3 linked regions of the Mytilus edulis genome follow. The main gene of each other region encodes a partner of the protein of the gene in region 2 in a complex. Links are inferred from orthologs where the notes say so. Each region holds a gene or a part of one and is shown on either strand. Other genes may lie near its edges.

What was found.
Region 1: protein Red-like (region 2) and zinc finger matrin-type protein 2-like share a complex: the UniProt entries of both Homo sapiens proteins name them as parts of the spliceosome B complex. The link is inferred for Mytilus edulis from reciprocal best matches to the Homo sapiens genes IK and ZMAT2.
Region 3: protein Red-like (region 2) and WD40 repeat-containing protein SMU1 share a complex: the UniProt entries of both Homo sapiens proteins name them as parts of the spliceosome B complex. The link is inferred for Mytilus edulis from reciprocal best matches to the Homo sapiens genes IK and SMU1.

What each region holds. Positions count from the first base shown.
Region 1 is NC_092351.1:34,543,625-34,555,431, forward strand, and holds the start of zinc finger matrin-type protein 2-like, read left to right. Parts: upstream 1-6,698; 5' UTR 6,699-6,828; coding exon 6,829-6,837; intron 6,838-8,684; coding exon 8,685-8,840; intron 8,841-9,728; coding exon 9,729-9,799; intron 9,800-10,922; coding exon 10,923-10,996; intron 10,997-11,452; coding exon 11,453-11,598; intron 11,599-11,807. Other genes in the region: protein FAM114A2-like, read right to left, coding at 237-428, 3,428-3,512, 4,274-4,909. UniProt on the Homo sapiens protein: Involved in pre-mRNA splicing as a component of the spliceosome.
Region 2 is NC_092351.1:652,668-663,855, forward strand, and holds the start of protein Red-like, read right to left. Parts: upstream 4,316-11,188; 5' UTR 4,188-4,315; coding exon 4,178-4,187; intron 949-4,177; coding exon 876-948; intron 464-875; coding exon 305-463; intron 1-304. Other genes in the region: hyaluronan mediated motility receptor-like, read left to right, coding at 4,644-4,689, 9,090-9,188, 10,674-10,756. UniProt on the Homo sapiens protein: Involved in pre-mRNA splicing as a component of the spliceosome. Auxiliary spliceosomal protein that regulates selection of alternative splice sites in a small set of target pre-mRNA species. Required for normal mitotic cell cycle progression.
Region 3 is NC_092354.1:21,759,111-21,770,383, forward strand, and holds the start of WD40 repeat-containing protein SMU1, read right to left. Parts: upstream 4,492-11,273; 5' UTR 4,393-4,491; coding exon 4,367-4,392; intron 2,779-4,366; coding exon 2,568-2,778; intron 1-2,567. Other genes in the region: leucine-rich melanocyte differentiation-associated protein-like, read left to right, coding at 9,116-9,154, 10,838-10,916. UniProt on the Homo sapiens protein: Involved in pre-mRNA splicing as a component of the spliceosome. Regulates alternative splicing of the HSPG2 pre-mRNA. Required for normal accumulation of IK.

The sequences.
Region 1 (11,807 bases), about 34 Mb from region 2:
TTAAGTGCTCATAATAAAATGTAATATACAAAGAATAATTTCTATATCTAAGATCATTATTACTTTGCTTCTTACACATCTACATATGCTTTATTGCCTCTGAGTTAAATTAGGCTTACACAATTTATGTGACGAAAAAGCTAAAAGATTCCTATATATTTTCCAACTTCTAAACAATGTTACCAACAAGTATAAATATGAATATTCATATTTTGGTTTTATAACAGTTGCCATACCTGGTTCTACATGTTTTGGCTGCTCTGTAATTTCTTTTGAAGCTGATTCAGCAGGCTTCATTGTATGAGCCACATCATGAGATTCCAAGGCTTCGTCTTCCTTTTTATCAGTTTTCATGTAAGCCAGTTGTTCTGGTGGTATAGCACCCAATGTATTCTCCATTGTATCCATTATTGTACTGAACCCTTCTCCTGAAATATAAGCCCTTTAATTTAAATAACTTATTCAACAATTACAATGTTATATACATACTAAGTGTACAATGTTCACAACATAGGAAGAAGTTACTATAAGATAGGAAACGTTGAGGGTAAATGCTGTTGAATTGACTTGGATTATAAAGTGCACCTGGGAGACTACATTTTTATGACCTACAAAGTGACTCAGTACACATCTTTGCATTTTTAGCTATGATCTAAGTTTTCTAGCATATGTATGTACAAATCATATTTCATTGTTACCATGATTATACAAAAAAGAAATCTGTGGTAAATGTGACAGCAACAAACTAGAGGCTCTAAAGAGCCTGTGTCGTTCACCTTGGTCTATGTGCTTATATTAAACAAAGGACACAGATGGATTCATGACAAAATTGTGTTTTGCTGATAGTGATGTGTTTGTAGATCTTACTTTACTGAACATTCTTGGTACTTACAATTTTCTCTATCTATAATAAACTTGGACCTTTAGATACAGTGAAAAATATTTTGTAAAAATTTACAAAAATTTACCAAATTAGTGAAAATTGTTAAAAATTGAATAAAATGGGCAACAACTCCTTAAGGGGTCAACTGACAATTTTGGTCATGTTGACTTATTTCTAGATCTTATTTAGCTGAACATTATTGCTGTTTACAAGTTATCTCTATCTATAACAATATTCAAGATAATAACCAAAAACAGCAAAATTTCCTTAAAATTACTAATTCAGGGGCAGCAACCCAACAACAGGTTATCCGATTTATCTGAAAATTTCAAGGCAGATAGATCTTGACCTGTTACACAATTTTACCCCGTCAGATTTGCTCTAAATGCTTTGGTTTTTGAGTTATAAGCCCAAAACTGCATTTTACCCCTATGTTCTATTTTTAGCCATGGCGGCCATCTTAGATGGTTGGCCGGGTCACCGGACACATTTTTTAAACAAAATACCCCAATGATGATTTTGGCCAAGTTTGGTGTAATTTGGCCAAGTAGTTTCAGAGGAGAAGATGTAAAAGATTACTAAGATTTACGAAAAATGGTTAAAAATTGACTATTAAGGGCAATAACTCCTAAAGGGGTCAACTGACCATTTCGGTCATGTTGACTTATTTGTAAATCTTTTTTTGCTGAACATTATTGCTGTTTACAGTTTATCTTTATCTATAATAATATTCAAGATAATAACCAAAAACAGCAAAATTTCATTAAAATTACTTATTCTGGGGCAGCAACCCAAAACCGGGTTGTCCAATTCATCTGAAAATTTCAGGGCAGGTAGATCTTGACCTGATAAACAAATTTACCTCATGTCAGATTTACTCTTAATGCTTTGGTTTTTGAGTTATAAGCCAAAAACTGCATTTTACTCAAGGTTCTATTTTTAGCCATGGCGGCCATCTTGATTGGATGGCTGGGTCACTGGACACATTTTTCAAACTACATACCCCAAAGATGGTTGTGGCCAAGTTTGGATTGATTTGGCCAAGTAGTTTCAGAGGAGAAGATTTTTGTAAAAGATTACTAAGATTTACGAAAAATGGTTAAAAATTGACTATAAAGGGCAATAACTCCTAAAGGGGTCAACTGACCATTTCGGTCATGTTGACTTATTTGTAAATATTACTTTGCTGAACATTATTGCTGTTTACAGTTTATCTCTATCTATAATAATATTCAAGATAATAACCAAAAACAGCAAAATTTCCTTAAAATTACTAATTCAGGGGCAGCAACCCAACAACAGGTTATCCTATTTATCTGAAAATTTCAGGGCAGATAGATCTTGACCTGTTACACAAGTTTACCCCTTGTCAGATTTGCTCTAAATGCTTTGGTTTTTGAGTTATAAGCCAAAAACTGCATTTTACCCCTATGTTCTATTTTTAGCCATGGCGGCCATCTTGGATGGTTGGCCTGGTCACCGGACACATTTTTTAAACTAGATACCCCAATGATGATTTTGGCCAAGTTTGGTGTAATTTGGCCCAGTAGTTTCAGAGGAGAAGATTTTTGTAAAAGTTAACGACGCCGGACGACGACAGACGACGGACGACAAGTGATGGGAAAAGCTCACTTGGCCCTTTGGGCCAGGTGAGCTAAAAATGCATGTTAAATAACAGACAATTCAAGTATCAAAAGATTGAAAAGTTCCCACACCAAATGATAAGCTCTTGTAAAATCAATGAAATAAAAATTTCAACACTCGATCATTTTTTTTATAGTGCTAAGTTGATGAGTGAGAGGAGATATAATTTTAAATAGATTCAGAGGTGTCTATTTACAACAATGATTGCTGTAGACACCTCTGAATATTCATACAAGTACTCTTTGTAAGAATCTCAAATAAAATATTTGAATTTGAATTTGAATTTGAATCTCGAGTGTTTTTTTAGGTGCCTTGCAAAATTAAACTAAACAAATTAATAATGTACAGGTGAAAATACACATATGAAAACAACTTTCTACAAGTATTTTTGTCCAATAGATCTCAATATTGACATTGTGAAACTTTTCCGGAGTAAATATGTAACTAAATGAGTTATCTCCCCATAGATTTACAAATGCTTGCAATACACTTTTAATTTTCAAGATTGAAAAATAACAAATGAATATGTTTTATTAATGTCTCAAGGCAAAGATATGTTAGTGGAGCCAGTAAACAGGTATTTATGACCATAAAATCACCAATTGATGTCGTCGAAGCTTAAAATACAATATTGTAATCTCCATTCTAATGAAACTGATAGAAAACAATGTTAAAACATACATTTAAAATCTGTAATATGTCGTCTGCGCTTGCGTACGTTTTCATAGCATCAATTAATATTGTGATTTAATGACATGAAAATTAGCAACCTTATCCAATCAAAATGAATGTTAAACACAATGTTGCATTAGAGTGATGTTTGACAGGTGATCCTCTGATTCTTTGAAATACATTTTATCATGTCTGTACCAATTAGACCGATTTATCTATGATACTAACCAACTTGATTTGTAAATGTTGAAACTGATGTCTGTGCTACATTCATGATACTAGAACCCCATCCTCCAATATTCCAACTACTAGACTGTAATAAAATAAAGTACAGTGAATGTCTGCCTTTACTTACATATATATAATTATGTAAATGTACATGTATGTATTAAAAAGTAATGATAATGATATCGTAATGTTTCAGTTTGGTACAGGTCCATACAAGAATGAACAGTGTTGTAAATTGAAAGAATCATATACATTTTTTTTTAATTGTATTTTGAAATAAATTAAAGCATACATTTTTGTACTTTCCACCCTCTTGGCCAAACAAGGAGCAAACATATTTTGTCTATAATAATTCATTAGAAATCCATTGACCTGTTTCCTTAAGGCCTGTTGAATGCAGTTACAAGAGGTGATTTGTCCTTAAGAAGTTAAGATTGATTAATAAATGATTAATAGCCAGTGGCAAATATTTAAAGCATATTCAGGAGTACAAATAGTATTTCAACCAAATACATAGTTTCTGCAAAATTCTGCTTACCTTAGGGCCATGGTCAACAGCATTCAATAATTAACTGCGGGTTAACACTAGATGATCATGAAGGACCTGACTGCATTGTTAACAAAAAAAGATTTAAAAGGGGCTGCTGTTTTGCCTTGCAACAGCTAACCTACCAGATGTACATGTATTTACTGACTTTTCAAAGAGCTAGTGCAAGGATTCTTAAACATGTTAAATATGCATGTACAATGTACAACATCGATGCACATGATGTAAGGAGCACATAATTGCTTGATGATTATGATGATAGAAGAGACATTTTTTTATACTGTTTAAGTAACAATAACCTTTTGATCTTCTTCTTCCTCTTCTTCTTCTTCATCATCGTCATCATCTGCTAGTTGATCCAGAACAGATTTAATGTCTGGCTTTTCTGATCCTTCTCCAGATCCTTCCCTCTGTATGTTCTGCCCAGAAGGTGACTTAACAATGCTTTCTGTTTTTTCAGAAACATTTGTACTGTCTGTTGACAGCTCTTTATCATTTTCTGGTGCCTTCTTTTCTTCAACTTGTGTGGTATCTGTTTTTTTCTCTTCCTGGTTTTCTATGTCAGATGTTTTACTTTCTGTCTTCTCTTCCTCTTTTACTATTACTTCACTCTCAGGCTTTTTACTTTCTGTTTCTTTCGCTTCATGTTTTTCAGTACTCTTATTATTTTTTTTGGCCTGTTTTCCCTTTTTCTTTCCTTTTCCAGTTGCTCCTTTCTGTTGTGGTACTTCAGGATTTTTTGTTTTGTCAATAGCCTCTTTATCACTTTTAGGATTAGTTTTTGAAGCTTGTTTCGGGTTGTCTCCCTTTCCTACAGACTTTGTTGCTTTATCTGTATCAGGCTTAGTAGATTTATCTCCCTTTGGTGGACTTTGCTTTGTTTCTTCTCCTTCATCAGCACTGGCAAATGCAGCATCATCTTCTGAATCTGACATTTTATCTACAAAAGCATGAAAAAGTATAAATGAACAGTTAGAAGCTTAGAAGAGGTTAGAAGTCAATTAAAGGAAATGAGAAATATTAACTTACTTTTCTGATCCTCTTGTGATTATTATTTAGTATTTTTGACTGTGTTAAAGTAGTAAGGGATTGCATTTTTTATTAGTTCATTCTATGACAATTAAATATTCATGTACAAATCTTCGTCAAAGGCCAACTTTTTTACCGTTCATCTTTAATATTATTATAAAACTAATGAACATTTACATGATTTATGAATTATTTTTATACATTATAAATATTCTTTTGAATCAACTTGGGAAGGAACTACTTTGGACAGATCAAATAGGAATGGAACAACTTGAAATTGATCGACTTGGCACAAATAGACTTGGGGCCAGATCGACAAAAAAGCTTGGTGGTACAGGGCTAGGAACAGTTAAACAAATGGTCAGATTATTTGTTTTCATGAGTCATTTGCAATTTGTACTATGAACGCTTTTTCAATGGAAATTGTGACGTCATAATCCCGGTCCATTCTTAACCCTCTCGCTGCTGGAGGGACACATATAACCATTTTCAAATTTATGCAAACTTCTCATCATCATGAACATTGATGTACATTTTGTATCTCTTTCAAGAAAAAGGCTGATGATTAAACAGTGCATTATTTTTTCTTCAATGGCTCCAAAATATAACGGTTATCTTTTTCTTGCGCCCACCAGTAGTGTTGAGTATTGGTAAAGTTTGACAGTTCAACGTAAAAATTATTATGTAGACTGTATATTGAACAGATATATCATGTTAAGGAGGGGTATTTGCGAAAAATACCAGTCGAGAGAATGTTAAATTTCACGAGCCGTAAGGCGAGGGAAATTCATTCTCAAGACTGGTATTTTTCGCAAATACCCCTCAATAACATGATATATCTGTTTAATTACACCGAATGTTAATGTACTAAAACGCATTGATGATCGTGACGTTACAAGCGTCCAGTCGGATAGAGTATTTTTGGCAAATACCACGGCAGAGAGGGTAAAAAAGGCATATCCTTTTAGCAAATATGCCGGCGGCGTAAAAAATGAACAATATTCATTTGATAACAGTAAATTGGTGAAAAATACACTGGCTATTAACCAATCAAAACCCCGGATTCTTACATAAGGTGTAATTATAATTATTATATGACGTTATATATCAAACATGTCAAATGAAGTCATTGTTGAGCATGTACATGTGACGTCACAGATGTTGAGCTGCCGTATTTTCTTGTAAATGAAATGAAATACTACCAGCAGTAAGAGGGTAAATAGAAGGAAAACCCATAAGGTGAGGATAATATATTTTTGTTTGTGACAATAGTCAATACAAAAGTCAGGACTGTCTATTTCAAGTACAACCATTAATAATTAAAATATGATCTAATGAGAGAAAGGAAATTAAAAAAAGAAAAAGTAGATTAAATTGCTAAATTATCAAAATCATGCAAATGATGGCATGGCAAATCTGTAATCAACAGATCAACCCCTCAAAATTTGGCATTTTTCCAAGTGTAAGGATTGTTTATCAACAATCAAACACTTCTCCCTCTCAGACAAAAATAGTCCATTTCATGCAAAACTTACCAAAACTCTGCTTGTCAAACGTATGCAAATGGAAAATCGAACTATAATAAATTTCGTCACTCCAGCCACGTCGATTTGTTTTGCATTTTTTTAAGCTTTCGGGTCATTGAGCAACTTGAAATAAATAGGAGCTAACTGTCATTTTAAAACGCATGAGAAACTTAGATGGAAGTGCATGGATTTGAGTTTTCGGAGTTTTCCATAGACAATAAGAAGAAACCCGAGAGCGAAGGCTATTTGATTGTTTACAAATTTATAAATTAATATTATTGAGGATACTTTAAAGAACAATGGCAGAGGTTACAAGAATACGACAAATTAAGAATGAATCCAGCTCTTTCCCTTTTAAGTGTCTTCTTTGTAAATCGTAAAGACACAATAAACCCCCCCTTTTCTCTTTATATTCATGGTCCTACTACTGGTGCTTTTGCTTAGATAATGTGATGTTCCAAAGCATAGAACTATACTTCACAATGTCCCATGACACGTATCCCACCTGAATGACCAATTAAACCTAGCAGTTTATTAAAAATTGGAATTTCGATGATGGAAAACTTTCAGAAATAGACAGTCAGAGCTCAGACATGAATAAGTCTGAATCTGCTTTTGACTCATAGAGGTCTAGATTTGTAAGTTTTAGGATTAGTCTCCCTTTAATGCAAGACAAAATATGACTTTAATAAGTCAAATATTGTTAAGCAAGAAATAACTGTACAGAATCAAAAAGTTGCAAATATCGACTCCTACAAGTCGATAAGTGATCAAAATTGGTTAGCTTAAAGACCCACGCAAATTTATAAGGAGGTCATGCATCTAAATCAAATAATGACAACATTCAAAGACAATGCTTTGTCTTCTAAGGAAAAATATGAATGAGAGTCTAAAAAATCGGAGATAATGTTAATTAACCTTACAATGCAACCACCTGGAACTACACTTAATGAGGAAAAACATCTGTGTTTAGTAAGGATGTTCAATAAGACAATTACATATAGATAGCTCAAGTCCTTGTGAACACTCAGACAGGTTTTTGCTGTCATAGGTTGTGTAGTTTGGCCACCAAGTGAAATTAGTTTTTTCATCAACATAAATAGACCTAAACAAGTCTGTCATTTTATGGCTTAGATAAGTCTAAAATTGAAAACACATTTTTATGATAAATACATGTTTTGACTTCTTTAAGTCAAAAACAAAAATAGACTTGTTTATGTCTGAGCTCTGACTGATAGACACAGGCACTTGTTTCTATCCATTGGAAGACCCTCTATCCAAGTAAATATACGTGGATAGAGGGTCTTCCAATTGAAAGAAACAAGTGCCTGTGGAAATAGACCACTTTCGAGTTTATCCTTCACTGGAAAAAACTCGTCAATTATGCGCCCCATTATGACATCATTTATCAGATAGAGGGGATCGCCTGTATCCCTGCACTATGAACTCTTGTGCTATGCCTATTTTGGGTGTTTTTAATTAGTTTGAGAAATGTACTAGTTTCTGGATTGTATTTTCTGTTAAGTATCTTGTAGGTCTCAATTATGTCCCCTCAGAACATTCTATATTGGCAGCTTAAGTTTCTTCAATCTTTCCGGATAACTGAATTTGTTGGATCCAGGTATCTGGCCTGTCGGCCTTTTTTGTACATTTTTAATTTTGCCAAAGAATTTCTTTTTGAAGGGAGCCTATACTGAACTAGCATAGTCTAAGTGTGTTTTCCCTTATGTTTTATGAAGATCTTTGCATTTAAATTTATATTCTTCTTATTGCCGCAAACATTGAGTTAGCTTTGTTTAATTTTTCCCATATATGTGTTTTTCAAAGGTTTATAGATATATTTGCTTTAATGCGAGGGATATTTCCCTGTTGTTCTAGAGAAGAAACAGTCTGTTTTCATGTTTTTTAGGGAAACAATTACCTGTGATCTAATGACTATGTATTAATTTTCCAGAGTTCTTTAATTTAACTTCATGTACATTCATTAATTTATAGAGAATTTATTATACAAACCCTACCTTCAAGTGATGATATATCTGAGCCTTGAATATGATATGATATACATTTTTATCATATTATCTACATCTTTTATATTAATAAGTAAATTTATATCCACATGAAAGATCATTACTTAAATGTTTATTTTTTTCTTCAGAAACCAACACCCGGTGATCACAGACGAAAGTGGGACAAGGATGAGTATGAAAAAATTGCTAAAGTTCGATTGGAAGAAGAAGAAAGGAAACTTCTTGAAAAAGAGTTAAAAGAGCCACCTATCAAAAGAGAACTATTAAAACCTAGAGAATATAAAGTATGTTAAACAAGGTTACATTTGATCGAAATTAATATATTCAGAAATAGAGAAAAAAAATCTTATGATTAAATATCTTTGTGTAAATCTGTCAAAAGGGAATATACAGTTTTAAGCCATGACAAGACATTACTATGCAGTTGTGGAAGAAAGAGCAGATACTGAAGAGGGACTTTGAGTAAAATTCCCTGGGATAATGGTTTATAAAACCAAATATATAAACACCAGTCTTTTTTTTGTCAGTCAAAATAGACTGCTAAATAAAACTGATTAATTTATATAAATATTTAAGCAGCATCTTTATTAAGTGCCAAGCCACTCTGCCTAAGAATCTGAGGCAGTGGTCAAACGTGACAAACAAAAACCCGGCTCAACTTGACATTAATTTAAGATCAAAACGTACATATATAACCATGGTAACAGTGCATGCATATTACATTTGTTTCCTGTAATTCAAGATATAATTTGGTTAAAATGCACTGGAAATTAACAACTAAGGGGAGATAACTCCATAATTTGCTTTCATTCTTTACCAAAAGTTATCTAGAGATTTCTCAAAATAATAGACACACAGAAACAAAACAATCTACCATTTATAACTCCATGAACTCAGGATAAGGGAAACTTCATAATAGGATGGGTAGGTTGGTAAGGTTTTTTTCTGTCTTGTTTTGAAAATTGTCTAAATTGCCTGATTATTACAAAGACTGGCACTTAAACATTTGTGTAGAATAGGTTGTAACATTTACAATTACTAAGATGTGACTTAGCACACATCTATTTACAAACTGACAAGTAAGTGTCGCTTTGTCTTCATATACATGTATAAGATCGTATGTTAAATTTTTATAGCTGTTCTAATTACTGTATCTGTTGTTCTTGTTTTAGGTTGATCTCGATTCTAAATTAGGAAAATCTCAGGTTATCACAAAGCAAACACCTCAGTCAGGACAAGGAGGGTAAGATAACATTTTATTTATCTATTATTAGTCTAAGATTTTAGAGTAGATGTTTAATTATGTAAGGAGGGGCCTAGTGGTCAAAGTAGTTCATCTACATAAATCACTAGCTTGTCTACACTGAAGTAGTGAGTTCCAAAACCACCCAGGGTAGGTTTGTTTTACTCCTATCTGGATTGACAAGGATTGCCATTTTCCTGCTAAAGATTGGTGATTTTTCTCTGCATACTTCAGCCTCCTCGACCAATAAAAACTGACTGTAACGACATACTGAGTGCAATGCCAACAATCAACGGTGAACCAATCAATTTATTGTTTGGAATATGAACTCATGACATGTACCTTATTGAGAACTATATTATCAGTTGAAATGATATCAATTACATTTATATTCAAGTAGAAATAAGTAGATGTGGTATTAGAACCAATGAATTAACTCTCCATCCAAGTCAAAAGTTTAAAAAGTAAACCATTGTGGGTCAAAGTACAGCCTTCAACATGGAGCTTTGGCTCACACTGAAAACAAGAAGCTATAAAGGACCCCAGAATTGACTAGTGTAAAACAAGTTAAACAGGAAAACCAACAGTCTAAACTATCTTAAAAAAAACAGAAATGAGAAACACTTATGAACCACATTAACAATCCACAAACCCTGAACAATAGTTTCCTGACTTTTGGACATTTGCAAACAAATGTGGTTTTAAACGTTTTAACAGGCACCAACTAAAATATATTGAAATTAGAGAAATTGTATGTTCGAAAAATAAATTACAACATGATACATGATACTATATCACTTACAAAAAATTAATGGTATAGGTCAAAATTTGTATCCTTAAAATCAATAGAGAACTTGTACATATTATTTTATTCTCGTTCACCATAACACAAGTCTTAACATAGTTTTGTACAGATGAAGCCAAAATCAATCTCTGTGTAATGTCATAAACATAAATTAAAATAACATCATAGAATAAAACAGAGATGGAAAGTTATTATTTTTTTAATATTTTGATGATTCTAAATTCATTAGAATAGATTTCCTTCACCTTGTCTGTCCCATTGTTAAGTTTCTGATGCTGCATTACCTTAGATTGACTGTAATATTTTTTGTTATTTCAGGTATTATTGCAATGTCTGTGATTGTGTTGTTAAAGACTCTATTAATTTCCTTGATCACATTAATGGAAAGAAACGTAAGTTTGTATATAAATTTTTCTCCTTTGCTCTCAAACAAAAAATATTCAGGAGCCAGTTGTGAATAAGATAAACAGCTAGTATTTTTAGCATTTTCAAAATGTTAGAGATTTTTCTGCAAATAAATGGAATTCATTGCAAGGTTTACCAAATTATATTTTTTTTATCCTCAGATTTTGAATACTGTGGATTTATTATATTTTTTGTGTTTATCAATTTTCTTGGATTTAGGTCTTTGATGTGCATTTTTCTTGATATTTGATTTCCTGATTTTGACAAAGTCTACATTCAAGTCAATAGATATTTGTAATTTGATGAGCATTAAAATTTTTGGGTTAATGTTTTCAAATGTCAATACAGAGTTATGACACATTCAATACGGTTGCTGCCTTTTATAATTTTATATCTGAAATTTGTACTAGCTGATGTTTTTATTGTTTTTTTTTGTATTTAAGATCAAAGAAATTTGGGAATGTCAATGAAAATAGAAAGGTCAACATTAGATCAAGTGAAGAAAAGATTTGAAAGTAATATGAAGAAAAAAGAAGAAAAGAAAAAAGAATATGATTTTGAGGAGAGAATTAAAGAATTACAAGAAGAGGTACGTAACTAACACTTCATCATGTATCAAAGATTTAACCACCTTCAGAGAGTCGACAGTTTAAAATTGTGTTTCTTTCCAGTTGACAGACTTTTCAGTTTTTCAAGATTGAACTTTTTTGATGATCAGCATGCACTGTTCTAGTTGACTGACTTTTCCTATACAACAAATTAAGTTTCACAATTAAGCAACACTAAAGACCCATGTGC
Region 2 (11,188 bases):
TCAAGGATTTTGAAAAAGACAATGCTCAGAGCACTTTTAACAAGTCTATGCAATAACCATGTATTAAGCTTCTTCAGGCTTTTTTCATATATTACTAGTGTGTTCTTAAACTAGATGTCCTAGTTACAGAGGTCTTACAATAGAGTAATGGTGCTGTTTTTATTATGATCAGATTAATATTGTAGAACAGTGGCAGTTGGTCTCTAACTCTTCATTTTAACTCTGGGGATAGTTGCCTCATTGGCAATCATACAACATCCTTATTTACATACCAATAATATCGTCATAGTTCCTGAATACTTACAATATTGTATTACTACTACTACTTGAGTGTTTCTTAGGGACAGATGAATGCTGCTGATGTTGTTGATTCTGTTGATGATGATGTTGTTGTTTTGCTGCTGGTCCTGGCCCCCGGGGGGTCATCATCATTTTCCTAAAGTCATCATTGGTCAGTGGATGTCTAAATATACATTGTAATAAATAATTATAATATATAATATATTACTGACCCTGTAACTTAACATGATAATCAAAATTGATTTAATTTTTTTTTTTAAACATCAAACAAAAAATAAGAATCCATAAAAAAACAAGAGAAAATCTCTTTAGACAAGTAGAACAATATGGTATTTCCTGGTTATTTGACATAATTTCACCATATTTGCCGAATTACAATCATGACAATTTTAGAAACTATTTTTCAAATATCATCTGGATATGTTATGTATGTTGGGCCTGTTATTTGATAGCAGTTTGATAGTCATATAAAAATATTTGAAAGAATTTTGACAGCTTATTAATAGGATTATGTATCGGTATGACAGTGAGAGTTTATTTCTATAAAAAGTTATTTTAAATCATATAAAACTTACCCTTCATCCTCATCATCGCTATAGTGATGATTTTCTGGAGGAAGTGGATTTGAGAAAACCTCAGAATCTCCTTCTAAAATATACAAACATTAAAATGATCTTAGACTATCTAGAGGCTTCTAAAATATACAAACATTAAAATGATTTTCTAGAGGCAATTTTTATCTAATTTGAAAGTTTAAGTCATATCTAGATCTGTTTAGTTCAAGTTGAAATATTTTCTGTATTAAAAATTAGTAACCATGAATTCATTATTATACATGGGATATCAATTTTCAGGGATTTCGTGGGCAAAGGTGATCCATGAATGAAATGTTCAACAAAATACAAGTTTTCTATACATGCTATATGCTTGCAAGCAGACTTTGGCAAAACCATGAAATCAAATTTCCATGATTATACAATTTTTCCTTAATCCATGAAAATTGGTACCCACAACTTTCAGTGTCCAGTGCCTAAGACCACTCGACCACCTAGGCTATATGAAATAATAAAGGAAATTGAAAATCCTTGTTTATCAAAACAAATTTGAAAATGTTGTTTTATCATTAATCCATCAAAGACAAGTATTTCAACAATAAGGGAAAATTATTATGTCATTGAACAAGCTTTCCATACAACATGTGTTTTCATAAATTCCAAGAATATACATGTATACCATATGAATATCTGAATAGGTTTATTAAATTTGTACATGTTGTATCGTCACTGTATGCCCTTAATATTGATATTTCTTTTTAAAAAGTAGGAGGAAGGTACCCATGGCGAACAAACTCAATGGGCAAACAAACTAAGGGGTAATGGCGAACAAGTAATTAGGTGAACAGACCTGATACCCTTTAAGATCAGCTATTTTGAAAAGGATGTCAGAAATGTTAATTACCATGCAGCCGTATCATTTTTAAAAATTATTATTATTATACTGGAGAGCATGATTTTTCTTGCAAAATCACATGTCTCCACTGGGTTTTGAACCTGGGACCTCTGTGTTACAAGGCAGCTTGTTAACCAACTGAGCTAAAGAACTTTCCTTAGCTCAACCACTTACGGCTGACTAAGTATTTAACACATGACAAATGGGGGATGTGTTTCAATGCCAAAAAGTGCTATATGTCCTATCCATAAACAAAAAAGTAGACAAATTCTATATGCTTAATAAACACATCCTACAAGAGGTACAAGTGAACCCATACTTAGGACTCCAAATCTCAAACGATCTGAAATGGAGTATCCACATAAACAACATCAGTAAGAAAGTCAACACAACCTTGGGCTTCCTTAAGAGGAACTTTCAGAGGAATGTACCAGAGCCATGTAGGAAAGTAACATACATATCCCTAGTAAGATCAACAATGGAATATGGTGCAAGAATCTAAAACCCATATATATGAAAGGGGATATTGACAAACTAGAACTTATCCAAAACAGAGGCATACGATTCATTTAGAAAAATTACAGGAAACAGGGTCTATAACTAATATGAGACACCAGCTCAAAATGGAGACACTAGAGGAAAGAAGACACAGCCTCCATCTTATCCTGATTAACAAGGTGGTTTAGGGTCTGGTGCTGGCTCTACCAGCGAGAATTTTGTCATACCAGCACAACCTAAACGAACTATCAAAGCCAAAACATATTTTAACTGTGAAACTGACAATATCATTGAATGTCAAGTTATCAATAACACCAGAATATTAAAGTACCAAATAGCAACAAACCACAGTATAAACAGTGGTCTCGCTAGCCCAAAATAGAAGGGCGCCGCGCCCTGGGTGCCCTCAGCTGCGCCCTGGGTGCCTTCATCCGCGCCCTTCTGCCCTGACGTCTTTTTCCAAAATTATCTTGTTCCGTTTTGGTAAAATTTTGTTTCATCGATTTCTGATCTCCAAGTTAATTACATATATGACACCTGTGTGATTGCCCCCAGGTTAATCATTTTAATTATTACAATCAATTACAATGATAAAGACTTCAAAGGTGTTAATAACTAGGTAATTTAATTAGGACAATGTATCTTTTTGTCATACTTCTGATGAATGTGTCAGCGAGTGTGTTTAGCTTGGGTCGGCATTTTCGATCTCCAAGTCACAATGGAAGAGCGTATATAAATGAAGACTTTCATGACTTTAGAATTGAATTTAAGTCATCAAAATAAAACTATGCCTTTACAGAAATGCCTTCCATCTCAACTTGTTAGCGACAAGCACAGTTTTTAATTAACCCAAACGTGGTGGAAATTGATTTTGGAGTTACTTCCCCTGTTTTAGCTTATTACAAATTTGTGCTCTAAAAATATTATCTAGTACCAAAAAAGGGAATAAATTACCAATTGAATATATAATAACATAATCATGTTATCTTAAAGATATTAACTGTCTGAACATATTAAAAAATATATATTGCAATTTCTATTTGATAATTATACTTTTAGCAATCCATGTTCTAAACATTGTTAAATTAGTAATGCTCTCTGTTTCAGTTCATATGATGTATTCAAAGCTATAATTCCTATATAGATAAAAAAAAAAAAAAAAAAAAAAAAAAAAAAAAAAAAAAAAAACACATATTCTTTGATAATTGGTAGAGTGAAGTTGAACTGTCATGACTGTAAAAACATAATATGTTGATGAAGATGTACTATATCAATCATAACTACACAAACAATGAAATAAAGACTATAGTACAATAAAAAAAACAAAGAGATTCGTTAACTCGTGATACACACAGAAACTTAGACAAAAAAATGAGCAGTGCCTTTTCTTATCATAAAAAGTGCCCTGCCCTCCACTGGCACCCTGCCCCTTTTGATTTCTAGCTAGAGCACTGATAAAGTTAAACATTCATTTTTTTGTGAAAACAACTATTCACTGAAACCAACTACCAGATAAAGTTGTGGATGCAGGTTTTGTAGAGACATTTAAGACTGCTCTACAAGAACACCGCCCATAACAACAGCGCTCTTCTCTCTCCGTGGATAAAAGTCTAAAAAGGATTTTACAAGTACCACTATACATGTTCCAAGGGAAGCAATCCCGTCACACAGGTTTTAACAAATATATATATATGACATCTTTAAGACAGTCATTCTTCATCAGATAACACATACGTAACATAGGAAATGAAATGACATTACTCTCATATCTCTAGACAAAATAGAAAATCTCTTTCATTATCATCAGAAAACAAAAAGAGAATTTATCAAAAATACATGAATTTTGATAATACAGTCTAAAATTGTAAATAAATGATTTACAGATCTTATGTGTGCTTATTTCATGTGTGTTTGTGGGAAACAAACTTACTTTCTGGCATCTTTGCAACTGCAATGGAGAAATGGAAAAGAATGAGCAAAATAAAAATAATGCAGTGCCTAAAATCTAAAACAAAAGTAGGACTGTTCCGTAAATTATCCGGGTTTATTTATAGCCAAATTGTTTAAATATTCTACGCTTTATTATAACTGTATCAAGATATATGCATAAAAAAGCATTCGAAATTGCTTTATGCTTTATCTGACTTTATTTTAATTCAAAGAATAGATATTCAAATGTGTCTTATTTTTTTCTTATCCGGAAAAAATAATCCGTCAAAATCATGCGAGTTAATTTTACTTCTACTTCCGGAAACAAATTTCATTGGTCAAAGCGGAAAAGTGAAAGAAGAAATTCGAAAATCTGGCGGTCCTTGTGCATATCTGTATAGATAACTGTTGAATATTCCTACATATCTAATGACAAAGTATCAGTTATAGAAAAAAAAATCATCATTATGGCCTTTTCAAAAGCACCATTTAAACGCTTTAACGAAAAGACAGGTGGGTGAAAATAAAGATTCAATATTCAGTAATGATCATCAACTGGTTAATGCCAAATTATTATGGCTTTATCCTTATTAGAGGGTGGTAAAGGGGTGGTGCTTGCACGAAAAAAAAAACGTGAAATAAGACATAATTTCACGTTGAACGTGAAATAATTTCTGTAATGAACGTTGCATGAAAAATAAATACTTTTATTTGTGACTGAGTCACTGTCTTCTTGTATATATTAACTCAGGGATCTCCATGGCCTGTTTAACGATGGCGCCCTGCCATCGTCAAATGACTCGTGCCATTGTTAAATTGTCTTGCACCATCGTTAATTGTCTTCCGCCATCGTTCAAAACTTCGTCGTTTTTTTGTAGCCCGACGCCATTTTGTTTATCAATTATAATCAAATGCATGTAATTGCATAGCCCTTAGGCTTTTTATGTTATAATCCAATACAGTTCTAACGCCTGAGGGATATCCGGATTAAGATCGCTGAGCTTGTACAGGTAGATCAACAAACCAGACAGGAGAATACTATCTTGGATAGACGATCTATTTGTCGAATTAATCAACTAAGTTTCAGCAAATGATTATGATAATTTAGATTAAATAAATTAATTAATAATCCAGTTACAGAGGAAACAGTTTAACAAGTCGAACAAGTGCTTTATTTTGACTTACGCAATCAGCATCCCCCTTTTTTAAGAAGTACAAAATAAGACCCAAAACAGTAAATATTATTTCATTGCAAATAACTCGAGTACTGCTGTAACGATAATTTAGAATTACTTTAAAAGTTTAAAAGTAAAAACTTAAATATTTCCTGTAAAGAAATATCGTATCGTAATTCCAAATTCATTTCGTATATTACAATCAAATTGATACATCCGCGTTTCCGGTTTCTATTCAGACTCGAAAGATGCATGTTGCACAGCATCAATTTGCCAGAGTAAGTCATTAAAAACCTTTTCATTTTTCAACGTTTGCTTTACAAATCTCTTTAACCTTTTACATAACCCGTACAAATCGTTTTGTTGTTGCTGCAAATCAGCCATACCGGTAATGGGTTCTGAATTTGACAGTGTCCATGAAAAAAAAGCTCCACATCATATGATTTTTAACCCCATAACAATTACCAAAAATACAAAAAATCTACATGGGGACCTTCATGACAGCTTTTGGTCATTCTTGACTAAGGGGGACCATGAAGACTTGGCATTTGAATGGTTAAAAACGGCAATAAATGAAAATATTGATACTTCTAATTCTATAATGAAAATTCAAATAAATATAATTTAAATAAGCAATGAATTAGCATGTTCACCATTCCTTGTATGGAAGGATAAAATACTTCCGATCGCGCTACACTGTACAGCGTAGACACGGTTTGTAATGGTGAAAGTTCCTCCATCGTTCAATTTTCATCCATGGAGATCCCTGTTTACTCTTTGTTTTACTTGATATTCCAGATTTAGTATACACATTTATGATATAATTGGTTTACAGCTTTTAAAAAAGTATTTCTTGACGATCCCTGCCAAGTGTTTGAATTTTATTTGAAAAATTTCCGAGCACGCAAAATAAGACTTTGAAAATCACGATGCACGTAGCACGCAAAATAAGACTTTGAAAATCACGATGCACGTAGCACGCAAAATAAGACTTTGAAAATCACGATGCACATAAAATTAAATAAGCAGAACACGTTATAAGTGGCACCCATCTTGCACAACTGAAGGTCAAATAAAAAAGTAAAAACACGTTGAACGTGAAATAAAAAAACGGACGAAAATAACCCTTTACCACCCTCTTATTATGCAAAAATAAAAAGTTTAGTCAATTCGGTACCTATATATACAAAATCAGGGCTCTGATCAAAAAAGGGTTAAGGTTTACAATTACAATGATTAAATTGGTTTTTATCCTCATATGTGGATTAAACAACTCCATGCATATTGGCCCTTTGGCTTAATAATTGTGTTTTTTATAAATTTTAATCACAACTCCAGTGACAAATACTACCATCACTATTTTCGCTTCATAGTCATACCTAAACGAATTGTTTATTGTAAAGCGTATATCTGATCGTGGTTCATTTTGTCATTTGTATGCAAAGCAATATTTTGTTTCACACCAAAAAAGACCAATGACAGCAGATATACACCATTTATAATCTTCAGTACTTTCTTGGTCTTATCTTGCTAGTAGGGTGCCTGTATTTATATTGCATAGTCCTATTAAATTTTTTTACCATCTCTGGTGTTTTGCTTCATGTTTACAATAGGCAATGTGTGTATACAGGTATCTGAAGAAATAAACCAGTTTAACGCATAATTCAGAGGACCTTCTCGGTGGTGTTGTCAAAGGTAAAATCACAAAAATACTGAACTCAAATTTAATTGGAAGGTCCCTAATTAAATGACAAAACACATCAAAATAATGGACAAGAACAGTCATATTCCTGACTTGGTATGTAGGCATTTTCAAATGTAGAAAATGGTGGATTAAAACTGGTTTTATAGCGCTAAACTTCTCACTTGTATGACAGTCACATCAAATTCTGTTATATTTACAACGATGTGTGAACAAAACAGATATAATATGTGAAATAGTCAAAATATGGGTACAGCGGTCATCACTTGGTTACATTATCTCAAAACAAACAAACATTTACAAAAAAGCACAAAAGTATCTATCAAATTAAAAAAAAACACACATTCATTGCTTCGCGTGTCTGACATCCAGTCAGGGGTACTACTTATACAAGTGTATTTTATTTACTTGAAGAAGTGAAAAAAAATATACACATATAAGTAAATAAATAATGTTTGAATAATCTCCCCTTAATTTTCTGAAAAATTTACTTGTACAAGTAAATTTTTCTTACAATCCCACAAAAATCCTCAAGTTTTGAGATGTAAAATCATGCCTTTAATAATTTTTCCCAGGTTTGCTCAAATTTTTTCATTAAAGTTCAATGTTTCATCTCATTAATTCATCAAAGAAACTGATTGAGCAAAGATCTTGTATATTTGCGCAAGGCAATACAAAATTGCTCCTTTGGGGCTTGTAAATGAGCAGTGTTAAGAAGATAACAGACAAATGGGACTTTCATTGTCTATGAAATCACACTTGAATGATTAGTAAAGACATCTGTAAAGGGTACACAATTTAAAATTCTATTAGAGCAAAGAAATCTGCAGAATTCAAGAAAAGAAGAAAGGATGATTTTTTTACCTATACAAGTAAAAAAATCTGGATGCGGAAGGGACATAACTCAGCCAATTTTTTTTTACCTATACAAGTAAATAAAATTCACTTGTATAAGTATCCTACAAATTTACTTATATGTGTATATTTTTTTTTACTTCTTCAAGTAAATAAAATACACTTGTACAAGTAGTACCCCTGACTGACATCAGAAAATGTAAACGTCAAATAAAAAGAAATTTTGTCATTTAAGGTTTATTAAATTTTTTTATAATTTTACAGGGGGTATGGTGGTATACAGGGTTAAAAAATCAAAAGTTATGTTAAAAATAGATTCAGAAACAGACTCAGCATATACACATAATTTTGTCGTAACAGTGATTTTATCAACATGTTTTATCTAAAGCAATTTAGCATGGCGCAACACCATTGCCTTTTTTTCTTTTTCTTCTTAAAATTTGATGCCATGTGCCCTTTTGCATTATCTGGACCGAGATTGGGGTTTTTGTTGATCAAAGTGCAACAACCACAACGAAGCATTGACCTAATTATTTGCATGTCATTACATGAAGACATTTTTAATCACTTCAGCGAGACTCGTGAGTGTAAATCAACAATCATTTCAACACTCAGCAAAATAAAAATAAAGTTGTTACTGCATTAGAAAGTGATGAAAGTTTCCTGAAATAAATTTGTAATCCATTTATTGCATTAAATATGTCTTATTCCTTTCCAAATTGCGTGCCAAACATAGTTTATTTTTGTAAATTTTCTTAGTCCATCATTGAAATATTTGTAACTTGTAAGAACTATGGATCATAGTATTAAAGGATTCATTGGAAACAGACCAGCTATGATCAAAATCCTGATTTTTTTTCACACACATTAACATACTTTTAAATATGTGTTTAATTATAGCAAAGTGTATAAAGATGTCAATATTAGTGACAATACACCTACCTCATGAAATTGCAGTAATTCTGAATACATTTATGTCCCCATCGTTCATGACTGAGAGTGGTAATTATTTCTCAGTAAAGGACCTGAATATAGTCCCCCTTCAATTATTAATTGGAATGAGTGTCTTATAATCATCCACAACTCACTCCGTACTTACTGCTCTAAATGGATGAAATAAGAAAAACGAGTTGAAATATATATTTATTGAATGACTAAAATGATCTGTATGTATTTTATAGGTTGTGCACCTCCTGTTGGCTCATATGATCCTAAACAGAAGGATAAAGCTGTTTCTATGCAATTTGATAAAGGAGGGGATCGTTTCAAAACACCAAAAGGTAATATATTGTTTAATACAGTAGGGGATTGATTCAAAACACCAAAAGGTAATATATTGTTTAATACAGTAGGGGATTGATTCAAAACACCAAAAGGGAATATATTGTTTAATACAGTAGGGGATTGATTCAAAACATCAATAGGTAATATATTGTTTAATACAGTAGGGGATTGATTCAAAACACCAAAAGGTAATATATTGTTTAATACAGTAGGGGATTGATTCAAAACACCAAAAGGTAATATATTGTTTAATACAGTAGGGGATTGATTCAAAACACCAAAAGGTAATATATTGTTTAAATACAGTAGGGGATTGAGTCAAAACATCAATAGGTAATATATTGTTTAATACAGTAGGGGATTGATTCAAAACATCAATAGGTAATATATTGTTTAATACAGTAGGGGATTGATTCAAAACACCAAAAGGTAATATATTGTTTAATACAGTAGGGGATTGATTCAAAACATCAATAGGTAATATATTGTTTAATACAGTAGGGGATTGATTCAAAACACCAAAAGGTAATATATTGTTTAATACAGTAGGGGATTGATTCAAAACATCAATAGGTAATATATTGTTTAATACAGTAGGGGATTGATTCAAAACACCAAAAGGTAATATATTGTTTAATACAGTAGGGGATTGATTCAAAACACCAAAAGGTAATATATTGTTTAATACAGTAGGGGATTGATTCAAAACACCAAAAGGGAATATATTGTTTAATACAGTAGGGGATCGTTTCAAAACACCAAAAGGTAATAAATATTGTTTAATACAGTAGGGGATTGATTCAAAACACCAATAGGTAATATATTGTTTAATACAGTAGGGGATTGATTCAAAACACCAAAAGGTAACATATTGTTTAATACAGTAGGGGATTGATTCAAAACACCAAAAGGTAATATATTGTTTAATACAGTAGGGGATTGATTCAAAACACCAAAAGGTAATATATTGTTTAATACAGTAGGGGATTGATTCAAAACACCAATAGGTAATATATTGTTTAATACAGTAGGGGATTGATTCAAAACACCAAAAGGTAACATATTGTTTAATACAGTAGGGGATCGTTTCAAAACATCAATAGGTAATAAATATTGATAGATAATAGGGGATTGATTAAAAATACAGTTGGACCCAACACTGCTTTGTCAGCTTGTCCAGGACAAATAAAAATAGGTGTATAGGACAAATAGCTATAGAAGCAAACATTTTATAAAAACAATGTTATTTCTTTTATAGAGAAAGGACACTGTCAATGCTATCAATGAAAAATCACAAAAAATGGTATCCATTGAATATTAATGAATCCACAGTACTTTAATCACTAGCAGATGAGTAGCTAGCCAGTCAACATCAAGGGCACTACGACTTCCTCCACCAATCAATAACTGGTCACTACCATATAGCCCAAAAGTGATGCTTAAAATTTGTTGTTCTTTAAATAGTTATTTTTATTTTTCAGATATTCTTCTCGGACCAGGATCTTTTGACATTGATACACCAGTTAAAAAGTGTCCATTGAATCAATCAACATGTAGTAATGGGGTAAGTAGAGGAAGCCTTTGATAGATCTCAATAATTATATGTTATATGTAGGAATGGTTGATGGTCATAAATCATTGGTTAGTCTGAAAATCTAAACTTGCAATATAGAACAACATGACTGGATTAACTCTTTTTTATGCCCCACCTACGATAGTAGAGGGGCAATGGCATTATGTTTTCTGGTCTGTACATCCATTCCTCTGTCTGTTTGTTCATCCGTTTATTCTGCTTCAGGTTAAAGTTTTTGATGAAGTTGAAGTCCAATCAACTTTAATCTAAGTACACATGTTACTGATGATATGATTTTTCTATTTTTAATGCCAAATTAAAGTTTTGACTCCAATTTCACGGTCCACTGAACATAGAAAATGATTTTTTGGTCAAGGTAGTTTTTGATGAAGTTGAAGTCCAATCAACTTGAAACTTAGTAAA
Region 3 (11,273 bases), on a different chromosome or scaffold from region 2:
AACACAAACGATGCAAACGGCTAAGCTCGCACATGATTTGATCATTTTTTTCAAACACATACGTTTGCAAAGTTTACATAAACTTTGACAAACTATGCAAACACTAAAAATGCGTCTACAGTTTGTCGTTTGTTAGTACAAACACTGCATTTGTTTCTAACTTCAACCTGATTAAACGAAGTATTTGTTTCTACGTTTTGTAAAAAAGTCTGATTACCAACAACATGTGCATGCATTATTGACAATTCAAACAGGGTCATTAAAGATTTATCAAACGATGTATTTGTTTCTACTCGTGTATCGTTTAGAAAACAGTAACACACGCGACACAACGTTTACAAAATTCTTGTTAGAAAATAATGCGGCCTAAGAAAAATCTTATTAGAATCACAAGAAGTTCTGATAGGTCATAAAATAAACTTCCCATCACTTTATTCTTTTCACATGTCAATTTAAAAAAAATCAATTCGCAACGATGTCATAATTGAAAGCACGAGGAAGGCTGGCCAAAATGTTCAACTTGCGGCTAGTGATTGACAGGTATGATTATATCTTGGGGCTCTTGTGGGGAGCGTGGTGTCGGACGGAAAAAAAGATTTCCAGTATTCATATATATATATAAATGTCGATCTGATGTGGAAAATTGTGAGTTTTTTTTTAATAGCACAAAGAAAAAGACGTTAGAAGAGTAACAATGTGTAACTATAAACGAATTACTCGTTGACTGATAAGATCGAAGTTTGATAAAAAAAAAAAAAAAAAAACAAAAAAAAGCATTCAATATCAAACCTTAATTCTTGGTTGGAGAAAACTTGTTCAATGTATACCTGAAAATATGTCTTAATAAATTATATTGTGTATTTAAATTATCTCCATTGAATACTATACAATTTATTAAATGTATCTATGATATCCTCCATAAATAAATATCGGGTTATGTTCTTCTCATATATAAATATCGGGTTATGTTCTTCTCATATATTTTATGATAGTATGATACTAAACCCCTAACGGGAGGGATTGTACCTGATATTCATATGATGAAGACATAATCTTTCAATCAGTTTAATTGAGGTCTGGAGCTGGCATGTCAGTTAACTGCTAGTAGTCTGTTGTTATTTATGTATTATTGTCATTTTATTTATTTTCTTTTGTTACATCTTTTGACATCAGACTCGGACTTCTCTTGAACTGAATTTTAATGTGCGTATTGTTATTCTTTTACTTTTCTACATTGGCTAGAGGTATAGGGGGAGGGTTGAGATCTCATAAACATGTTTAACCCCGCCGCAATTTTGCGCCTGTCCCAAGTCAGGAGCCTCTGGCCTTTGTTAGTCTTGTATGATTTTAATTTTTAGTTTCTTGTGTATAATTCAGAGTTTATTATGACGTCCATTATCACTGTACTATTATGCATATTTTAGGGGCCAGCTGAAGGACACCTACGGGTGGGGGAATTCTCGCTACATTGAAGACCCATTGGTTGCCTTCGGCTGTTGTTTGCTCTATGGTCGGGTGGTTGTCGCTTTGACATATTCACCATTTCCTTTCTCAATTTTATCAGTACAGGTAAAGTTAAATTCGGATCAACAGATTGATTTACGACCTTCCGCTTGTCCATGTTGTATTGCAAAAATATCACAGCAGGTGTTACTCACACTAGACAGGTGTCAAATCAGTATGACATTATGTCGGATTACGGCATCTGCAGTAATTAAGACTCTGTTTTTACTGTTTTTACAGGAACTGATTTATCTTAACATGACAATAAAGAAGAATTTTGTAAGGTGAACATATTTGTAGTAGTATTGCAAAGTTACCACGTGCATTTTCCTGTTCATTGGTCACAATTAAATAGATTATTCTTTATTAAACTAAATTCGATATTTAAATTGCAAGTAACTTTAATATCAAAACCACCGCTTTTTATTTCTCGACTGAAAAGGGTAATAAGACGGTTATTTTTATCTGACTGTAAACAGTGTATATAATCACAACGATCTATTAATAACCGTTGCTCACAGATAACGGATTATACAACGATCTATTAATAACCGTCGCTCACGCATCACTGGTTCTATCACTGACTCAATACACACCAGTTTAATCGGACAAACGGATAATTCCCTGAGACACACGGATAATTCCCTGAGACACGCGGATAATTCCCTGAGACACGGAAAATCTCCGGAGAACCGCAAAATATACTGTAAAACGAAAAATTTACGATGAACCTCTATTTATTATCCGTTCCGCGGAGATTTGCCAAAAATCGCGGTCATTTGCCAAATAGGTCTACCAGTGTATACTACCCTCCTTTCGAAGTAGCATAGTCCAACAGACAGATCGATTGGTTTCTGTCGGACTAGTCTATTTCTTCTAAAGTAGGGTAGTTTGTTTACCTAACCTAACAATGACTTCACGGCTCAGCTAACAAGCAAGCTAACTAAAAAAATTACCTTTGGCTACACACTCCATGGAATCCGCTGTAAGTTATTTTATTAGTTTGTTGGAAGTATCTTGTAGCACATTAGCCCTACTACCATTATTTTGAGCTTAGACCTCACCTGTTCATATAAATCTATAAGTTTCTGATCAGGGAGTTTTAGTGTCTGTATGGCTTGGAGCACACTGTCCCAGTGACCACTGTTGATGTCGGAGACAAACCCATCTACAGAATCAACAGTATTCAATGATGTCCCACTCTCTTCTTGTAGAACTGTAAGTGTCCGTAGTAAATTGTTTTCCTTGAGATACTGCTCAATCAGACGAACAACACTGAAAAAATAATTTAAAATAACATAAGCATTGTGATTTGATTTTCTTTGCCACTTTTAAGCACTGCTTTTGGGCTATTTCGTGGCTGCCATTTTATATTTGTGGATGGAGCTGGAGTGCCTGGAGAAAACCATGGTCGGATCTTTGATAGGAAAACTGACAATTAAGATTGGAATTGAGTGCAACAGTAGACGCGGGGTTCCAACTAATAACCTCAGTGTTGACTGGCTAGTGATTACAGTAGTAGCTACTTATAGTTAGACAACTTGACCTCCAAGGTCCATTATGAGCATTGTGACTATTAAGGAAATTTACAGAAAAATGCATGAAGCAAAAGTCTGCCAGAAAGTTTTCCATACAATAAATTTTGGTCTGTGATAAACATACAAAATTTAAGGTCCAAACCTGGAGACCAGTAGGCATCTGCAGTAGGGTAACTAAGAACCGCGATATTCCACCTTCCAACACCAGAGTCTTTCAAATTCGAATTCCTGTACCAGGAAGAAGAACAACCAAACAAAAAATGCAAAAAGTGCCACATTATTATTATTATTAACCTAATAAAAATTGCCAAAATCTACTGTCTGCGCCCCAAGTCCTGAATCTTTCAAGGCTCAGCTTCGTCATAAGATTTAAATGACATGTTTTTAAATTGCACCCATTCTTTTTGTTTATTAAATTTCAAAAATATTGCATGCACTCACTCTAAAATGTGGCAGAATAGTCAACCAGTTGACAGTGGCCGCTTACAGGAAGAAGAAGACATGTACAAAAGTAACAATGAGCTGTCAAATGTACATGTAGGTTAAAGCACACTATAGTATGTCCTTGTTTGTATACTATGATGACTCTAAATAGAGCTTATTTTAGAAGAAAAATCAATAAAAAAAAAAAAAAATTAAAAATCTGGAAAATTTCATGAAATTTTCAATGTACTTATGAACTCAAAATCGTTCAAATTTTTTTTTTGTCGCTTTTTTTTAATTTGCGCATAACGCAAAAATCTACTGCCTCCTTCCGGTCTCGTTGTAGCACTTGAGACTTTGAGTAGTCTAGTAAAATATAGGAACTCAAGGAACACAATACCAATATTTCATTTTTAATAATTAATAATTATTTGTCTTTGATATGAATGTAAAAACGTTACCTGATACATTGTGTTTCTTTGTTTACATCGAACATGACGTCATAACTTAAATAAAGTCACAAGTAAAATCCCTAACAACAGAACCAAAATCGAAAACGTTACTGTTTTTCCGTTTCTTTTTTTTAACAAATATGTGTTACAAAAAAAAAAAATCGTACAGTTTCGTCCTTATTCACAGGTAATGCCTGCCTCATATTATTCATCATGATTGGAGTGTACCATTGCAGGTGCTCATTTATATGAGCTGGATTGTAGAACTTTTATAGGGAAATATCTAAAAACTGAAGCTGTAGTTAATGTTTATCTTAATGACATGACTACAAGATGGAAACAAAAGAGTGTACGATGTTAAAATTCAATGTACACTGGTCCCTATGCGTTATATAAATAGTCAAATGCAACATTGCATTGATGAAATCACAAACAAATAGAATCACTTACTCTCTTTGCTCGATTTCGACAGCCATGCTTAATGTGATCAGTGTTCGTGGAAATATTAAAGGACTATTCTTTCGTCCGTTGTTTAAAACGCACGTACGACATGTAAACAATGTAAATCATGTGACATTAAATTTGTTCAAAATGGTAGACAGCTCAACTTGAAAGACAATCATTGAAATTAAGTTGATTGACACAGTAATTCAATTCAAATATTGTTTACGCAACAATTAACACCTTAAGTACGTATTTGATAATTAGAAGCTTTAGAAATAGCGCTAGATATATATAGAGGCAGAGACATATATACATATATGTATTATATGTCTCTGATAGAGGTTTGAATTACAGCAATAATAAATGCTGTACTTGTAATTTGTACATGTTCATGATGTTGTATAGTTAGACAATATATGTATAGTGTCTTGAAATATGAAATTTATTTGTGTATGAGGCTTAGAAACGGGGGAAATGCGAGGTTCTACCGAATACAAATAATTTTCATATTTCAAGACACTATACGTATATTGTTTTTAAACTGAAATCGATAAAAAATTTAAAAAATAATAAAAATATGAAACAAATATTGTTAAAAAAAATGTTTAAAATTTCCCTCTTGGGGTACCATTTTGGGGTATTTCCCTTTGAGCGTATTCCAGGCGGTACAAAATTGACATTTTAAGGAAAAAGAAAGGGAAAATTAACTCTAATTAATAATATTTGATAAATCATGGTATAGAAATTACCAATTTGAAGACATAACAAGTTTAAATTCATAAAAGTTTGACCATTGTTACTATACGTTGTCATGGTTGTGACGTGACGTCGTAAGTAGGCGGGGCTTATAGGTGAGTTGAGGTCATTGACGTATAAAGCTAAAGTTTATACGTATAGCTTTATCTGTATAGTAAAATAGCTGATTGCAGTATAATATAGCTATTTTGCCGGCTCTGATAAAAATATCTGAAATAACCAAAACAATTAGTAATGACTTCTTTGCCAATGCCTGTGATATATTTAACAAGTTATTTTGATGATACATGTATCATTAATTTTATATTTAGATCTAATTTTGTTATATTGCGGACATTAAATCAAGAAATGTATCTCATTTTCAATTTTTCCTGCGCAAAATTTACAAAATCTCTCATTAGGTCTGAGACCACAATTGTCGTCCAGAATATTAAAGGAAAGTAGTGATTTGGTCCAGGTGAAAAAGGTTGAAAAATAGCACTTCGGAAGCTGTCAAAAGATTTTCAAGACGCCCTAAAGATAAAATTGTCCATATTTTGAGTTAGAGACGATGAAGTTTGTAAGAAAAGTTAATTGCAAGAGTCTTTTTGTGCTCAGATTTGTTGTATCATGTCACATGAGTATAGAAATGATAAAAAAGACACAAATTTTTATTTCTTACAGCCTCCATATGCATTTTTTAATGTAGATATGAGGTACAGCCTAAATTGACCCTAAATTTTTTCCAGTCTTACTTGGCCTAAGACCCTTTTAAACTAATATGATATGTTATTTGTAACTCTTCTTTCCATTTAAAGTACTTTCAATACATATGTAAGGATTATTTATAACCAAAAAGCTTCAAAAATTTAAAATGGCTGGAAAATATTACATCTTCATGTAAGGCCCCTTCATTGAAAAACCTCAATTTTTAGGCTCAGGCTCATATAAATTTGACTTTTGAATAATTATGCCAAGTCTGATAAATCAAATGAGTACTCTATTGCTTTAAGTACATGATAGGTTATATATTAAGGCATTTAAAAAGTATTTTTTTGCAATATTTTAATTTTTGAAGCCCCAAATGTTGATAGTTGAAATTATTCAATTTTAACGTCAAAATTTTACACGCAAAGATAAATATAGAACTTAACTTATTGTCTATAATATACATCCTATTGTCATGAAACTTTGTAAGCAGTGTTATAATTTATTAAGCTTTGCATGCTTTGGTCATACCAAGTTTTTTAAAGATTAGTCAACTCTTTCTATCCTATTAGGTCCAAGACCACAATTGTCGTCCCTTGATTTTCGTTGTTCACGAATATGAATAGTCCCTAGTGTTGACAGTGGATTACCTGCCATTAATTTTTATACCCCTTCCAAATTTATTTCTCCATGTTTAATGCCTCAAATTGCAAGTAGGGGGGTGAAATTACACTGTAAAAAAATTTGGGCCCAGAATTTTAAAGGAAAGCTGTCAAAAGATTTCAAGACGCCCTAAAGATAAAATTGTCCATATTTTGAGTTAGAGCCGATGAAGTTTTCTATAATTTTGATATAATTTGTCCCAAAAGTAGTACAACACAGTGTAAAATGGGATTTTTTTTATTTTCATTTATGTTCTAAAAGAAATGCACTACGAAATAATTGTGCTCTCATACCCACTGCCGTAGGACTTGGGGTTAAGCGTGAAGACTGATATTATATAATAGAACTATCAATGCATAAAAAATTGTTTTGATCTATTGCTATGCATATGTATGCACAATCATTTACTTTCACGTATATCCTGCATTTTATGTTTCAAAATATCTGCCCTCCCACCAACCCCCCCCCCCCCTAACCCCTCCCCCCCAAAAAAAAGAAAAGAAAAAATCAACAGCAGTATTATTATGATTATAGCTATGCAGCTATGATGTTCAGATCATTTATAAACAAATTACACATGTTATAATGAAAAATTGAAAAATTTTCAAATAATGGTCACGGTTTCATTTTCAATTAAAATTTAGAAAAAAAATCATACAGTTTGACTTTTAATACAAGTATTCTTATGAATTGATTATAATTTTCAAAAATCCTTACACTATTAGGTCACAGCTAGATGCAAACAAAAAAAATTCAGATTATTACAATGTACATGTACCATGTTTTTAATATCCTGTAATTTGCGTTTTTGGTCATGTTGGTAAAATCATAAAAAATGCTGAAGAGTTTAAATAGCCATCTCAAAATCCTGCATTTAAAACTGAAAACTGGAAAATCGGAATCATGTTTAATTCATAATATGACGGGGTACGAAGGGGTCCTGATCCTGAAATCTCGGGCTTAAAAACATGAAATCCTGAGGTCCTGAATTTAAAGAAATTTAAATCCCGACATCCTGACATCCCAAAATTTGAAAAAAAGAATTCCCAGATCCCGAAAGGATCAATCCCAAAATCCCGAGCTTAAAAACACCTATACTAAAAAGGTCCTATCCTCCCCCCTAATAGCAATGTCCATGATGTCTGTTTTCAGGGGTTAAAAATTCCACTAGCCCGACGCCCGGGACTAGATCATTTACGCCTCAGGCAATTAAAATGTGTAATTCGATATGCCCGACGGACTAGTAACAAAAAATATTGACGTTTCCAAAATAGAAAGTGAAAAATCCTTTCATCACTATTTTATGTTAGCCATTTCGATTCAATTAAGTCAGCCAGGATTCCAAGAATTTGAGCTGGTTTGTACAGGTCCTGTTGTACATATTTTAAAACTGGAAGAAATAACTCTGGCATGTCTGGGTGGTCTGGTATCATGTGTTGATTGCAATTCTCGTACTTTAAATATCGATTTCTCATATCATGGCTCGGGGTATTGTACATTGCTTAGGCAGCAACCATTTGATTTTCTGGGGGGGGGGGGGGCTATGGTTTTTTTTTCTGTGCAAACTTTTTTTTTCGCCTTCGGCGTAGAACAATCTATTTTTTTCTTTCAATTTCAGCATTACATATAGTGGCAGCTGAGGGTGAAACAAACAATTTTTTGTACTCAGGGTCCAAAACAAATTATTTTTTTCACCAAAACCTGGAAACAAACTTTTTTTTCCAAAAAAAAAACATAGCCCCCCCCCCCCAGAAAATCAAATGGTTGCTGCCTTATCGTGCCGAGATTTTCAATTAACGGTATTTGGGGGTATGATGTATTGATTGGTATTGACCTGTCTTGTTGCACAGCTCTTGAGCACGAAACCATGCAACAAAATATTTCTTAATATTTTAGTACGTGAACCCCAGGAACTTCGTCAGTTTCAACACGAAAAACGGTAGATGAAGGGAGTAACGAGGCTGAAAATTCATCCCCCAAAAATGCTAAATACGATAGGGAAAAGCCGCGGAAAAAAATAATAGTGTCAAGGACAGCAGGGCTGTCAAGTCTTTAGCGCGAGACTCACACATGTTCATGCTTATTTTGTGGCATTTTCCTTTGATCTATTGTTTTTTCTCTTTGATCTTAACTATTTGGCCACAAAATCACGCATTCACTTCCTGAAAGGTTGGAAGAACTGGGACACAATGATTCCCATGGCAAGGTTGGCTGTTGCTGATGAAAAAACCGACAATGCTCTGTGAATATTGCCGTTAGTTGCCCCAAGCACTCCAATAAAAAGTCTGCTTTGAATGTGGGAACAACTAAGTTAGGTTAAGCACCAAAAGAATAAATAACAGATCAACAAAAATTATTAAATACAGTGTATAATGTCTCCTTCAAAACAACGGACACCCACTTTGTATTATGCCACAAACTCTTGATTTTAAAGGCATACTAGGGCTAGCAGGTCAGTTTTGATGGACTAGCAGTTCTTCCAACAGGGCTAGTAAAATACTGCTGCCAATAAGTCCTGGGCTAGTTAGCTGTAACAAAATTTTTTAACCCCTGGTTTTATATTCTACAATCATTTACCCTAATTTATTTCAGATGAAAATTGAAAATGTTTCTGATCCTTGTGATGAATGAACATATGGATTGAATAAAATGAAGATGTCAGAAAAAAGAACCAGTTTAGCATACCAGGTATGTTTTTAGATGGTTAGCAGTCTAGATATAAAAAATAGAGGAGTATGATTGCCAATGTGACAACTCTCCAACAGAGACCAAATGACACAGAAGATGACAACACAAGCTTGTTTGTAATTCCCTTATACATTTGTATGTTCATCAATTTTTCTGGATATTTCTTTATATTGCTATTATTGACTTGAAATATGTCATTGTTGTGTACACAAGGTTTTAAGAACAAAGGTTTAAGCTGAATTTCAAAGGTACAGATAAACCACTAATTTTAATGTTCAACGAATTGTAAATTTTCCGTTGCCATTGGCAAAACCATGAAATTAAATATCCACGAAAGTGTCAGTTTCCCTCAATCCACGAAAATTGATACCAACAAAAATAAATGAATCCACATTAATTGCTTATACAATGAAACACAACTCTTTTACTCAACCGCTAAAAATCGATTACTCTGAGTAATGACCTATTAAATCTCAGGGAATACATTAAAGTTATAAAAAAAAAAAAAAAAGAAAAACAGTTTTTACGTCCAGCTGAAAAAGTTGAGAATAAATTTAACAAATATTTTTCATCAAGACCAAATTCTTCAAATAGCTAAAAAGGTTAAGACAATTTTGTGTGAAATCAATTTTAATCTGACAACAAATTCTAATAGGAGGCAGGCATTACCTGTGAAAGGAGACGAAGTCTGTATGAATTGATTATTTTAATTCAAACATAATTTAACTTCCAAAAAGAAATGGAATATTTTAACGTTTTCGATTTTGCAATGGTTCTGTTGTTAGGCATTTAAAAAAAAAATTCCAGTGTAAAACGGGACTTCGTCCCTTTATGATAAGAAATAGTAAAATAGTGTAATTTTTCAAGTATTTATAAGAAATTCCTGTATCATAAGGACATTTCTATATGCCAATATCTATAATACTAAAATTACGAGGTCCAATTTGTTAGCCGTCATCACGTAAAAACGACGAATCACAGAATTCAACTTTATATATAACTAATATAGTACAAAGGTGTAGATTAAAAATTACACCACTCCAGGCCCTTTTGTTTTCCACGTAATTAATATTAACAATAATTAAGAAGTTCCGGGTCGAGTCCGCTACCGATACCAATAGTATATTCACCTGTTACCTATTACCTTATCTGTACGTTCCGCATCTGACAGGCGCACCACCAAACGTTGTATTCAGGATTAATATGCTATATACACGGGTCATAACCACAGGGTTGACACTACTAAATTGTCAAATTGTTACCTATTGTAGTATTTTAATCAGTAAGACTTTCTAAGATAACAATACGAATACTAAAAATCTGGACTAAAAATAAGTCGTATAGGTACAGTTTTCAATTTGTTAGTGGGCATGACGTAAAACAGCGAAGGAAAGAATTCAACTTTATTTATAACTTAAATAGGACAATGCTTTTGATTAAAAAATACTCCATTTCAGGACCTTTTGTTTTCCAAATAATTAATATTATTGTTTCAGTTCGACGGGTTCAAACAGAAAGACTTGAAAGCAGAGAAAAACTGTGTATCTTATAATCGGCATGACTTTAGACTTTATCAGATGACAATACTAATACTAAAATAAGGCTTGCGCATAGTTATATACTTTAATTCAGTCACGGACCCGTAATATCACGGGTGTGTTCTAGTATTTACTATTTTTTCAGAGTCTAACAGAGATACCAGTACAGTTGATAAAACAAGGATCTGATATAGAAGAACTTGATCTGACACACAACAAGATCTCATATCCTTTTACTGCACACTTAAAATAACTACAGTGAAACCTGGCTGAACCGAATCCTGCATAAACCGAAAACCTGTATAAACCAAACATGTTCTAAAGCACCGTCATATCAAATTGTATGCGTTGTGAACCTGATAAAACCAAAGCATTGGCCAAAAACAAACAAAATTTTAAGTCCCGAAGAGATTCGGTTTAAACAGGTTTCACTGTAATAATTTAACTCTAACATAAACAAATCAGAATTTTCTGAATGATTGGAGTCAGAATACTTGATGTCATGAGTTACCTCCTATTTTTTAAAACCAAAATCTGACTTTATAGATAGAATTCATACATTTTTTCCATGTTTACAAAGA